Anolis sagrei: one gene and its partner. The protein of the gene in region 1 purifies or fractionates together with the protein of each later gene. This does not show direct contact. Links are inferred from orthologs where the notes say so. Each region holds a gene or a part of one and is shown in the gene's direction. Other genes may lie near its edges.

Evidence for each region.
Region 2: the proteins of JOSD2 (region 1) and AHCYL2 purify together in Homo sapiens (affinity purification with mass spectrometry; 3 studies listed by BioGRID and IntAct, counting the BioPlex papers as one, with this or other methods). This does not show direct contact. The link is inferred for Anolis sagrei from reciprocal best matches to the Homo sapiens genes JOSD2 and AHCYL2.

The regions. Positions count from the first base shown.
Region 1 is NC_090026.1:27,143,178-27,150,047, reverse strand, and holds the start of JOSD2 (josephin-2), read left to right. Parts: upstream 1-3,858; 5' UTR 3,859-3,965; intron 3,966-6,870. UniProt on the Homo sapiens protein: Cleaves 'Lys-63'-linked poly-ubiquitin chains, and with lesser efficiency 'Lys-48'-linked poly-ubiquitin chains (in vitro). May act as a deubiquitinating enzyme.
Region 2 is NC_090025.1:195,488,467-195,495,704, reverse strand, and holds the start of AHCYL2 (adenosylhomocysteinase 3), read left to right. Parts: upstream 1-4,217; 5' UTR 4,218-4,409; coding exon 4,410-4,769; intron 4,770-7,238. UniProt on the Homo sapiens protein: May regulate the electrogenic sodium/bicarbonate cotransporter SLC4A4 activity and Mg(2+)-sensitivity. On the contrary of its homolog AHCYL1, does not regulate ITPR1 sensitivity to inositol 1,4,5-trisphosphate.

The DNA.
Region 1 (6,870 bases):
CGGAGTATGATGTCCCTCCAAGTATAGTGTCTTGGCGGTGGGTCCGTAGGTGACTGTAGAGCCCCATTCTTGATCTGCATGTTCTTCCACAGTGAGGACATCAGTTTCCAGGTGGAAGGCAGTCCCGACTGTGGTTGGATTGATGCACCTTCCTCTTGGCACATTTCTCCCGTTCGCCCTCCATTTGTGCCTCTTCAAATTCCATAGCACTGCTGATAACAGCTGACCTCCAGTTAGAACATATAAGGGCCAGGGTTTCCCAGGTCTTGGTGTCTAAGCCACAGTTTTTAAAGCTGGCATTAAGCTCATCTTTAAATCTCTTTTCCTGCCCACCAACATTTCATTTTCCGTTCTTGAGTTGGGAGTAGAGTAACTGTTTTGGGAGTCAGTGATCAGGTAGTTGGACAATGTGGCCAGTCCAGCGGAGTTGATGGCGTAGGAGCATTGCTTCAATTCTGGTGGTCTTTGCTTCTTCCAGCATGCTGACATTTGTCTGCCTGTGTTCCCAAGAGATTTGCAGGATTTTTCGATGATAATGCGAATGGAATCATTCCAGGAGTTGAATGTGACGTCTGTAGATGGTTCATATTTTTCAGGTGTATAACAGGCTTGGGAGGACAATCTATATAAATAAAAATGTAATATTTGTTTGTGGGATTAACATAACTCAAAAACCACTGGACAAATTGACACCAAATTTGGGCATAATAAGCCTATCAGGTCAATGAGTGACCATCACTCATAAAAACACTGAAAAACAGAGAAAGGGACTTTAAAAGCCCCCAAAAGCCAAAAAGACACTACAACACATGCGCAAAAATGACTCCCCCAGCAAACAAAACACACAATAGCATATCCACACTCTTTTCCGGACTACAGCTCCCAGAATCCCCTAGACCAGGTCCTTTAAGAGAGGAGGATGATTCAAACGCACTGCTTCCAAGATGGAAGCTTTCTTCTCCTTGGATTTCTTTGAGAACATCCCAATCACTGCATATTTCCAATTTCCTATTCCTGGACTCCCAGCAATCTTCCAGATAAATGGATTAGATAGAGATAGGTAGGTAGGTAGGTACAGGGGCGGCTCGTCCATTACGCGAAGTAAGCGGTCGCAGAACATTTTTTTGCCAGGGGCGCAGAGGCGCCTCTGTAAATGCCCCTCGACCGCCACTTGAGGAGCGCCCCCTCCGCTCACAACAGCCCTAAGCAGTCCGGGGGGAGCCTCGGCTTTCTTGCCTCGCTGCCGGGTGATCCTCTTCCTAAAGGGGCTGGGGCCTTGAGCCTCGCCTCGCCCCTCTCGTTCCTGCTCCACCCGGCCACCGGGTGCACGAGCAGAGCCGGTGCTCAATTGTTCTCCATGTTAGATCCCTTCCCCATGACTGGCTCCCTTTCCTGATCCCCCAGAGCTCCACCCGCCTCCTCTCCTCTCCCCAATCCGCGGGTGGGCCAAGGGGTTGAGCCGCCGCGCCTGGCCCACTTCGGGTCAGGAGGCGTGTCTGAAGACCCCAGTGTGCGCACCAAAAGTCGCCTCTTCTCCTGACTTTCTTTTCAGCCAATGGGACCAAAAGAGAGAGAGAGAGAGAGAGAGCCCCTCTGGCTGGAGGTATCTCCCACCTCCGCTCCCTCCTTTGTTTTTGCGCCTACCTTCAGGAAAGGTGGGCATCTCCACCTCTGTCTCTCTCTCTCTCTCTCTCTCTCGGTCCCAATGGCTGAAGAGGAAGTCAGGAGAAGAGGTGACTTTTGCTGCACACGCCGGGGTCTTCAGGCACACCTCCGGACCCAAAGCGGGCCAGGCAAGGGAGCAAGTGCGGCAAGTGTAGTTACTGGGATGTATAGTTCACCTACAATCAAAGAGCATTCTGAACTCCACCAATGATGGAATTGAACCAACTATGGCACACAGAACTCCCACGATCAACAGAAAATATATATCAATGATTGGTTGGGGGGGGGGGGCAAAATACTGTTTGCTTACCATTGAAAATTACCTAGGGCCGCCTCTGGGTAGGTAGACCATTCAGAAGGACTGCTGGGAGTTGCAGTCCAAGAATAGGTACAGAAGGAAGAAAGGGGAGAACGAGGAAGGGAAAGAAAAGGGGGGAAGTGAAGAGGAAGAGAAGGAAGGAGAGAAGGAAAGAAAAAAAGGGAAGGAGAGAAAGAAAGGAGGAGAGAAAGAGGGAGGGAAGGTTGCCCACAGCAACGCATGGCGGGTACAGCTTGATAAACAAGCATCTTGGTATCTTGTTGATAAACAAGCATCTTGGTATCTCTGCGGATGTCCTGATCCTCAAACATTCTCTGGTTCATATGGAAAAATGCTGCACTTGCAGAGCTTGGACCAGGTGTCCTCAAACTTTTTAAACAGAGGGCCAGGTCACAGTCCCTCCAACTGTTGGAGAGCCGGATTATAATTTGAAAAAAACATGAATGAATTCCTATGCACACTGCACATATCTTATTTGTAGTGCAAAAACACTTTAAAAATACAATAATTAAAATGAAAAACAATTTAAATAAATTTAAACTTATTAGTATTTCAATGGGAAGTGTAGGCCTATTTTTGGCTGATGAGATAGGACTGTTGTTGTTGTTGTTGTGTGCTTTCAAGTCATTTCAGACTTAGGTTGACCCTGAGTGAGGGCCGGGAAAATGACCTTGGAGGGCCGCATCCGGCCCTCGAGCCTTAGTTTGAGGACCCCTGGTCTAGCCCATTGTGCTACTGGGGGCTCTGAAATAGAATTGGAGAAATAGGGACTTTTAACTGGGAAAGAAATCCGATCTTTCCAATGCCATGTGTATTATCCCACAACGGGCAAGGTAAACAGCAGCTGCCCCCAGAATGCTTTACTGAATATCCCTAACAGCAAAACTGAAGGCCCTTCCATACAGCTCTATATCCCAGAATATCAAGGCAGAAAATCCCACAATATCTGCTTTGAACTGGGTTATCTGAATCCACACTCAGATAATGTGGATTTTTTTGCCTTGATAGTCTGAGATATAGGGTTGTGTGAAAGGGCCCAGAGAGAAAGGTGGAGAACATAGAAGTTGGCCTCATCAGTTAGACAGTAGATTTCAGTGTCAATGTTGATATTTTTGGAGAGGTGGCTGCCAATGTAGAGGAAATGGTCAACATTTTGTAACATTACACATTAAGCTGTATTTCTAGCATTGCAGATGGATTGACTGGTGACTGCTGAAAGAACACTTTGGTTTTTTTCAATGTTCAACGAGAGGCCAAGCTTTTTGTATGCTTCCACAAAGATGATTAGAGTGGCTTGTAGGTCTTCTGAATGAGCATGACTTGCATTATCATCAGCATATTGGAGTTCTATAATAGATGTTGTGACCTTGGTTTTGGCATTCAGTCTGCTTAGGTTAAATAGCTTGCCATCTGTCCAATAGATGATGTGGATCATAACGATGAAGATGGAAAACAAGGGATGTGTTGTTGGGGCAACAACACATCCCTGTTCTCATAGAACTACCAATTCCATTATAGTGAAATTGTTATCACTGTGTAGAGCTCATACATACAGCCAGAGGAATACTAAAAACAATTAATTCATGAGTATCCAGTTTGCATATTTGCATATCTATATCTTACTACTCCTACCTGAGAACAGTAGTCAAATCTACCTCCTAGTTCATATGAATATCTCCTTATTCCTATGCAGTAACTCTCAGGCTCTGTCCCTATTGCCCACTTTTCTAAATCCATCCCTATAAACGTGCTGTGAGGGGCGTGGCTCCTCCTCCAGCCTCTGCCTCTGTTGCATTCTGGTCGCTGTAGTCCACAGCCAGCACTAGGATGTTTCCCGAGGCATGCCGGGAGCCGTAGTTCCTCCTCCCCGCGCGATGCATGCTGGGAGCCGTAGTCCCTCCCGCCCTGCAGTGTCAGCCTGGCCGCTGCTGGGTCAGTCATGCTGCCGAGTTGGGCTCCTTGGAGATCTGTCGTCTGTCAGGTAGGAAGATGTTTCCCATCTTGTGTTTGTCCAGATCTGGAGTGTATTTCCCAGCTTTGAGCTCACTGAGAGGAAGTGATAGGAGGTCAGGAGATGTTTCCTAATGTGAACCATTTGCTTTTAGAAAATTAACATGACTTGATGAAAAGTGGTGTTTCTGAGCATGTACAGAGTGCATACCTTCTCTCTTGCTGGGTTGGGATCTTACTTAGCTCCTTATGGGAACAGTGGAGAGGGTTTCCTAGAGCGAGCCATTTGCTTTTAGAAAATCAACATGACTTGATGAAAAGTGGTGCTTCTGAGCATGTATAGAGTGCTTCTAAGCATGTACAAAGTGCATCCCTTCTCCCTTGCTGGGTTAGGAACTTACTTAGTTCCTTATGGGAACAGTGGAGAGTTGTATTCTAGAGTGAACCATCTGCTTTTAGAAAATTAACATGACTTGATGAAAAGTGGTGCTTCTGAGCATGTACAGAGTGCATCCCTTCTCCCTTGCTGGGTTAGAATCTTACTTAGCTCTTTATGGAAACAGTGGAGAGATGTTTCCTAGAGCAAGCCATTTGCGTTTAGAAAATTAACATGACGTGATGAAAAGTGGTGCTTTTGAGCATGTACAGAATGCTTCTGAGCATGTACAGAGTGCATCCCTTCTGCTTAGCTGGGTTAGGAGCTTACTCAGCTCCTTATGGGAACAGTGGAGAGATGTTTCCTAAAGTGAACCATTTACTTTTAGACAGTTAACATGACTTGATGAAAAGTGGTGCTTCTGAGCATGTACAGAGTGCTTCTGAGCATGTACAGAGTGCTTCTGAGCATGTACAGAGTGCATTCCTTCTCCTTTGCTGGGTTGGGATCTTACTTAGCTCTTTATGGAAACAGTGGAGAGATGTTTCCTAGAGTGAACCATTTGCTTTTAGAAAATTAACACGTCTTGATGAAAAGTGGTGCTTCTGAGCATGCACAGAGTGCACCCTTTCTCCTTTGCTGGGTTAGGAGCTCAGCTCCTTATGGAAACTGGAGGGATGTTTCCTACAGCGAGCCATTTGCTTTTAGAAATGTGACATGCTTTTCATGACTTGATGAAAAGTGGTGCTTCTGAGCATGTACAGAGTGCATTCCTTCTCCTTTTCACTTAGCCCAGCCCATCCTTATGGATGAGATGCTTCCTAACGGCCTCCATTGGTTTTTAGAAAGTTTCAAAATTCTATTTATGACTTCCCTCTCTCTAAACAAGGCATTGGCAAACTTGGGCCCTCCAGGTGTTTTGGACTTCAACTCCCACAATTCCTAACAGCCAGTAGGCTGTTAGGAATTGTGGGAGTTGAAGTCCAAAACACCTGGAGGGCCCAAGTTTGCCCAAGCCTGCTCTAAATAAAGCAATGTTCTTTCATTTCTTAGCCTTTTCATATTTCATATTTTCAATAACAACAGCGAAATGAATGTTATTCGGTCGTATTTGGGATTTTAGATAATAGGTAGGGAAACGATTTGCAAATTGTAAATAATCTCCTCCTGTAGGATTATTAAAGCAAACAAACAAGAGTCCAGATCTCGAAATGTAAGTGTCTTCTCTTTAAGATTGCGCATAAATGGAAATTATAATAACACGTTTAAGTGAGTTGCTGTGAGTAAAAAAACATGTCTAAGGTTTTTAAAGCACAGTTCCAAGCATTTCCCTTATCCAAAACGCTTGGAACTTGACATATTTTGTATTTTGGAATAGCTCTAATTTGAATATACATAAATAATGTGATATCTCAATGAGATGGGGCCCAAGTCCAAACATGATATTCATTTGTGTTTCGTACACAAATACCCTAAAGTTAATTTTATACACACTATTTGTATTTTAATATCTTGAGCCTGAAACAAAATTTGTGTAGATAAAAACCATTGGAAAGCAAAGGTTTCACTGTCTCAGCTACTCATTCTGGATTATTTCAGCTTTCTAAATTCTACTTAAGGGATTTCTCAGACTGGATCTACACTGCCATATAGAATCCAGATTATCTGCTTTGAACTGGATTTTATGAGTCTACACTGCCATATAATCCAGTTCAAAGTAGATAATGTAGATTTTATATGGCAGTGTAGAAGGAGCATGTAGAGAAAGAAAGGTAATGGTGAGAGTTATAGTAGCGATCACACAATAACAAATGTTGGAGAAGAGATGGAGGCTACTTGAACACAGCTATGTAAAATCTACATTGAACTGGATTATATGGCGGTGTAGACTCAGGGCCCTTCCACACAGCCTTATATCCCTGATTATCAAGGCAAAAAATCCCACAATATCTGCTTTGAACTGGGTTAACTGAGTCCACACTCAGATAATGTGGGATTTTTGCCTTGATATTCTGGGATATATGGCTGTGTGGAAGGACTTGGAGAAGTTGTATTCCAGATTTTGTTGTCTCTCTGCTGCTATGACCAGAAGCAATCATAGATGGTGACCCTAGCCACAATATCCCCATTGCCATTTTAGGCCATGTCTACACTGCCATACAATCCAGTTTTTGAATCCAGATTATCTGCTTTGAACTGGTTTAGATGAGTATTAATATACTGTGACAACTGCCATTTGCCATTTTTCATTTCTGAAGTGGCCCTGAAGTCCATAAAAGCTTTCCTGGTCTTTTAAAGCCCCTTATATGCAGCCATATAATTCATGTTATCAAAGCAGATCATTCACATTCTCTGCTTTGAACTGGACTATCTGAGTCTACACTGTCATATAATCCAGTTCAAAGCAGATACCGGTAATCTGAATTTTATATGGAAGTGTAGAAAGGGCCTAATTCTTGAGGATCTTTATTTCAGCTACAAATGTTATTTGATAACATTGTGTTTTTTTTAATAAAAAAAATCTACTTATCTATTTCAATTTCTTGCTATCCTTGTTTGC
Region 2 (7,238 bases), on another chromosome or scaffold:
AATCTACACGCGACAGGAAGCAACTCTTATAATAAATAATCAAGAAATTAAAAAGCCGATAAATATCACACAAGGTACACGGCAGGGATGTCCTCTGTCCCCCCTCCTTTTTATATTAGTTCTGGACGTGTTGATTAGAAACATAAATAGAGATTCAAATTTGAAAGGTATGAAAATTTATAAACACCACTTTAAATTGAGGGCATATGCAGATGATGTAGTATGCATAGTGGAGGATCCAATAAACAACATTGAAAATTGGCTGGAAAAAATAGAAGAATTTGGAATCCTGGCCGGATTTAAATTAAATAGACAAAAAACAAAATTCCTGGTAAAAAATATGGACCAAAAGGCCAAAACCACACTACAAGAAATCGCGGGAATCAAAATAGAAAATAAAATAAAATATCTAGGAGTCTACATAACGAAGAGTAATGTATCCCTAATTAAAAATAATTACGAGCCACTCTGGAAAAAAATAAAAAAGGACATGGACAATTGGAAATACCAAAATATATCCCTATTAGGCCGCATTGCATTAGCGAAAATGATAATACTCCCCCAACCACTATTCTTGTTTCAAACTCTCCCTGTAATTAGAAGCGACTTTTTATTTAAGAAATGGAACTCAGATCTCTCTAAATTCATTTGGAAAAACAAAAAGGCAAGAATCAGCATGAAAATACTAACAGACGACAAGAAAAGAGGGGGACTGAGCCTTCCAAATTTTAAAGCCTACTATGAGGCATGTAATTTAGTCGCCATAAAAGAATGGGTCACATTAGAAGACACTCAGCTCCTAGCATTAGAGGGCCACGATATCAGGGCCGGCTGGCACGGATATCTTTGGCAAAATAAGAGAAGAGTGGAAAAGGGCTTCAGCGACCACTATATTAGAGCGGCACTGCTGAAAACATGGGAAAAATATAAACCCAGACTCTGTAATGGAACACCACTATGGCTGTCGCCGGTCGAGGCTAAACACAAAAGGGAGCTAGGAGTGGAGAACTGGATGACATATCAACAATTACTGACAAAAAATGCGGAGGGCAACCTAATATTAAAACCATTAGTAGAAATTCAAAGTATAAATAAAAATATATCATGGCTAAACTACTATCAAATACAACAAGATTATAAAGAAGACGCAAAAATAGGTTTTAACCAGGCTCAGGGAGTATGGGAGAAGATATTAAACAAACGGAAGAAACTAATTAAGATACTTTACCAGCAGTTGCTGGCCTGGGATACAGAGGAGGAACAGATTAAAAACTGTCAGATAAAATGGGCAAAAGATGTGGGCCATACCATATTGCTAAGTGAATGGGAAGAAATTTGGAATCATAAATTAAAATATGTTGAAGCCAGCGATCTACGTGAGAACTGGTACAAGATGTTCTATAGGTGGCACTACACACCAGAAAAATTATCTAAATTCAATAAAACTATAACAGATAAATGTTGGAAGTGTAGAAAGGAAACTGGAACTTATTTCCACCAATGGTGGGCATGCAAAAAGATTAAAAAATTCTGGAAGGAAGTACACCAAGCCTCCCAAAAAATCTTGAAAATCAACTTCCCGCAGGTGCCCGAAACATACTTACTGGGAATCACAAATATAAAAATGGACAAGAACCAAGATAAGGTACTCTTTCTTCTGGGCACTGCCGCAAGACTAGTCCTCGCAAGAGTCTGGAAATTACAAGAAACACCAACCCTAGACGACTGGACTCTAAAGGTTTTAGATATTATTCAAATGGACAGTCTCTCGCAAAGATTGAAAGATACAAATAAAAGAACAAACTGGTTGGGATTCAAGGACTTTATCCAAACAAGGGAGATCCCATTGCCGATAGATCTGTCTAGCATATAAACCATGAACTTTAAAAGAAATTCGACTGGCAAGAAAACAGAAAGACACGAGATGAAGATGTCTGGAAGGTTTTTGGGAAGTCGGGACACTCCCCCCCCCAACCTCACCCCCCCTCCCCTCTCCCCCCCCAATCTCATCCCCTTACCACCCCCCCTCTTTCACACCCCCCCCACTCCCTTCCTCCCTACCCCGTACATAACCCTTTGTATATTCACAAAATTTCAATAAAAACTTATTTTTTTAAAAAAAGAGCCACATCTATTGTTTTAGCGTGGTGAGATGTGTTCCACACTGGGCATGCGTACTCAGCAGCAGAGTAGCATAGCGCAAGGGCAGATGTCTTCACTGTGTCTGGTTGTGATTCCCAGGTTGTGCGAGTCAGCTTTCGTATGATATTGTTTCTAGCACCCACTTTTCACTTAATGTTCAGGCAGTGCTTCTTGTAGGTCAGAGCACGGTCCAGAGTGACTCCCAGGTATGTGGGTGCGCTGCAATGCTCCAGTGGGATTCCTTCCCAGGAAGTAAGTAATTATTGTGGTTGGTTATGATTATTATGTTTATTTATATTCCACTTTTTTCCTCTGGAGGGGAAAGTTACTTTTCCATAGTTTGCATTGGCCAGAGTTGTTCAAGCCGACATAGTTGTGCTGGTTGGGGGATTCTGGGAGCTGGAGTCTGGAAAATATTAGGACTAATCTATGATTGTTATTAATTAATTGACTAATAATAATAATAATTGAGGCAGGGCTCAACTTTGTAAAGCAGAGAGATAAAACACAAGACTATCAAAGTGCATCAATCACAGGTTAAATGAAGGTTAAAATTCCCAAATAAGATTTTCCTTGCTAGCAAAGAGTCTACCGACAGGTGGCGCTGGAGATAGGCTTGCAATTTCGCTTTTCCTCGTTTGCCCAGCAGATGGCGCTATACAGCCAGAGGAAGCTCTCTTTTAGTGTCGCGCATGCGTACTATTCCTGAGGCGGCTCTGTGAGGCATTCTCTAATCATACTTTTGGCCACGCCTTTGGTCATCGTGGGCGGGGCATAGTTGCTGCGCATGCGCACTATCCTGAAGAATACTCTGAGGTAACCTTTTCACATCTTGGTCTGTGTGGGCGGGGATTTTGCCTTCGCGCATGCGTACTATCCATGTGGGCGGGGTTTTGTCTATACCTAAGACTTCGGCAAGCCGGGAATCTTCTTTAGTCACGCCCCTAGGCCGTGCTACGGGTCTGAGTGGGCGGGGTTTGGCCGCGCGCATGCGTACTATTCCTCAGCCGAACCAGATACTGATATAGCCACGCCCACTATACGCTTTGATTACACTGTAGCCACGCCCCTGGGCCGTCCATCCGGGTCTATGTGGGCGGGTTTTTTTCTCCACGCATGCGTGCTACACTCAGGCGAGCTTGATATTAACATGGCCACGCCCACTATTCGCTTTGATTATAATAGCCACGTCCCTGGGCCGTGCATCCGGGTCCGTATGGGCGGGGTTTTGTCTTTGCGCATGCGTACAATTACTGAAGCGCCTAAGGCGAGTCCTGATTCTTTAGCCACGCCCCTGGGTCGTTCACCCGCGTCTGTGTGGGCGGGGCTTTGTCTACGCGCATGCGTACAATCTATGGTGTGCCTAAGGCGTGTCCTGCTCATTCCTTAGCCACGCCCCTGGGCGGTACATCCGTCTCCGTGTGGGCGGGGCTTTATCTTTGCGCATGCGTACTATCCCTGAGGCGCCTAAGGCGTGTCCTGATCATTCTTTAGCCACGCCCCTGGGCCCTACACCAGGGTCCGTATGGGCGGGGCTTTGTCTTTGCGCATGCGTACAATCCCTGAGACGCTTAAGGCGTGTCCTAATCATTCTTTAGCCACGCCTCTGGGCCGTTCATCCGCGTCCTTGTGGGCGGGGTTTTTGTTTATGCGCATGCGTACCATCCCTGAGGAGCCTAAGGCGTGTCCTGATCATTCTTTAGCCACGCCCCTGGGCCTTTCACCAGCGTCCATGTGGGCGGAGTTTTTGTCTGCGCGCATGCGTACCATCCCTGAGGCGTCTAAGGCGTGTCCTGCTCATTCTTTAGCCACGCCCCTGGGCCGTTCACCCGCGTCCTTGTGGGCGGGGCTTTGTCTTCGCGCATGCGTACTATCCCTAAGGTGCCTAAGGCGTGTCCTGATCATTCTTTAGCCACGCCCTTGTGCCGGCATCCGGGTCTGTATGGGCGGGGTTATGTCTTAGCGCATGCGTACTATCCCCGGGGAGGCTCTGAGGCGAATCCTGATCACCCTTTAGCCACGCCCCCCGACCAATCCGACGCTCCCCGCGCGGTGCCTGCCGGGAAAGCGAGTCCTTTCCTCGCCTGGGCTGCGTTGCCAGCGTTGGTTCAAGGACTCCGCTTCCCGTGAGGCGCCCGGGTGCGTGTGGGCGGGGTTTGGTATCCGCGCATGCGTGCTGTCTCCTCCCCCTTGAGGCGCCTGTGTGAGGCGAGGAGCAGCCGTCGCCGAGGGAGTGTGCTGGAGCAGAGAGGACGACGACGACGAGGATGATGTCGGTGCGGGTGGCAGCGCCGCCGGCCGTGGAGCTGAAGGAGCTCGGAGGAGGAGGAGGCGGAGGAGGAGGAGGAGGGGGAAGCAGTGGGCCTTGCGTGGCCTCGGCTTCGGGGGCGCCCTCCGCCGAGCCCGCGGCCCCGCTCCCGGCCCCCAAGGCGCCCCAGGCCTCGGCCATGAAGCAGCGCAGCCCCACCGAGGCGCCCTCCGCCCTGGCCACCGCCGCCTCCTCCTCGTCGCAGGCCTCGTCCCGCCTGGGCGCCGCCGACGGAGGAGACCCCGGGGGGAGGCTGCTCGGAGAGGCCCTGCCCAGCCCCGGAGGCACCGTCACCGAAGCCCCACGCACCGTCAAGAAGGTAGGGCACCAGGAGAAGGGGGAGAGGAACCCTCACAGGAAAGAGGAGGAGGAGGAGGGGGAGCCAGCAGCCTAGACACAAGACAATCATAACAACAACAACAATAATGAGAAGTCACCACGCTAGCAAGAAGAAAAAGCAATAACACATAATAATAATAATAAGTCATAATAATAAGTCATAACAATAATACTGATAATACTAATACTAATGGGAAGGAATAATTAGGAGCAGGAGAAGAAGGGGGAGCCAGCAGCCTAGTCACCATACAGTCATAACAACAACAACAATACCAAGAATAATAAGCAATAACAAATAATAATAAGTCATAATAATAATAGGAAGCCACCACACGAGCGAGAATAATAAGCAATAACAAATAATAATAATAAGTCATAATAATAATGGGAAGCCACCACACGAGCGAGAATAATAAGCAATAACAAATAATAATAATAAGTCATAATAATAATGGGAAGCCACCACACGAGCGAGAATAATAAGCAATAACAAATAATAATAATAAGTCATAATAATAATGGGAAGCCACCACACGAGCGAGAATAATAAGCAATAACAAATAATAATAATAAGTCATAATAATAATGGGAAGCCACCACACTAGCAAGAATAATAAGCAATAACAAATAATAATAATAATAAGTCATAATAATAATGGGAAGCCACCACACTAGCGAGAATAATAAGCAATAACAAATAATAATAATAATAATAAGTCATAATAATAATGGGAAGCCACCACGCTAGCAAGAATAATAAGCAATAATAATAATAATAATAATGGGAAGTCACTACCCTACCAAGAATAATAAGCAATAACACATAATAATAATAATAATAATGGGAAGTCACCACTCTACCAAGAATCAGAAGCAATAACACATAATAATAAGTCATAATAATAATTCTGATCATACTAATACTAATGGGAAGTAATAATGAGGAGGAGGAGGAGAAGGAGGAGCCAGCAGCCTAGTCACAATACAGTCATAATAATAATTCTGATAATACTAATACTAATGGGAAGTAATAATTAGGAGGAGGAGGAGGGGGAGCCAGCAGCCTAGTCACAATACAATCATAACAACAACAACAATAATAATGGGAAGTCACCACACTAGAATCATAGAATCATAGAATCAAAGAGTTGGAAGAGACCTCATGGGCCATCCAGTCCAACCCCCTGCCAAGAAGCAGGAATATTGCATTCAAATCACCCCTGACAGATGGCCATCCAGCCTCTGCAAGAATAATAAGCAATAACTAGCAAGAATAATAAGCAATAACACATAATAATAATAAGTCATCATAATAATTCTGATACTACTAATACTAATGGGAAGTAATAATTAGGAGGAGGGGGGGGGGAGCCAGCAGCCTAGTCACAAGACAATCATAACAACAACAATAATAATGGGAAGTCACCACACTAGCAAGAATAATAAGCAATAACACATAATAATAAATCATAATAATAATTCTGATAATACTAATACTAATGGGAAGGAATAATTAGGAGGAGGAGAAGGAGGAGCCAGCAGCCTAGTCACAATACAATCAAAACAACAACAACAACAATAATAATGGGAAGTCACCACACTAGCAAGAATAATAAGCAATAACACATCATAATAATAATAAGTCATAATAATAATGGGAAGTCACTACACTAGCAAGAAGAATAAGCAATAACACATAATAATAAGTCATAATAATAATGGCAAGTAACAATCCTAGTAAGAAAAATAATGGGAAGTCAGAATTCTAGCAAAAATATATTACTGCTACTGCTAATAATAATAATAATAATAATAATAATAATAATAATGGGAAGTAATAGTAATGGGAAGTAATAATAATAATAATGGGATGTAACAGTCCTAGTAAGAAGATTAATGGGAAGTCACCATCCTAGCAAGAATATATTAATTCTACTACTGCTACTAATAATAATAATACTAATGGGAAGTAATAATAATAATAATAATAATAATAATAATGGGAAGTAATAATAATAGGAAATAATAATAATAATAATAATGGGATGTAACAATCCTAGCAAGTGTATATTAATAATAATAACAATAATGGAAAATAATAATAATAATAATGGGAAGTAACAATTCTAGTAAGAAGAATAATGGGAAGTCACCATCCTAACAAGAATATATTAATGCTATTACTATATTAATATATTAAGGAGAAGGGGGAGGTACCATCCTAGTCAAAATACAATAATAATAATAATAATGGGAAGTCACCATCCTATTAAGAAGAATAAACAATAACAAATAAAAAGTAACAATCATAGTAGTAAGAATAATCAATAAGTACTTATAATACTAATAATAATAATGGGAAGTAATAATCATAGCAAGACTAATAAACTTAATAATAACAATAAGTAACAATCATATTAAGAAGAATAATAGGAAGTAACAATCATAG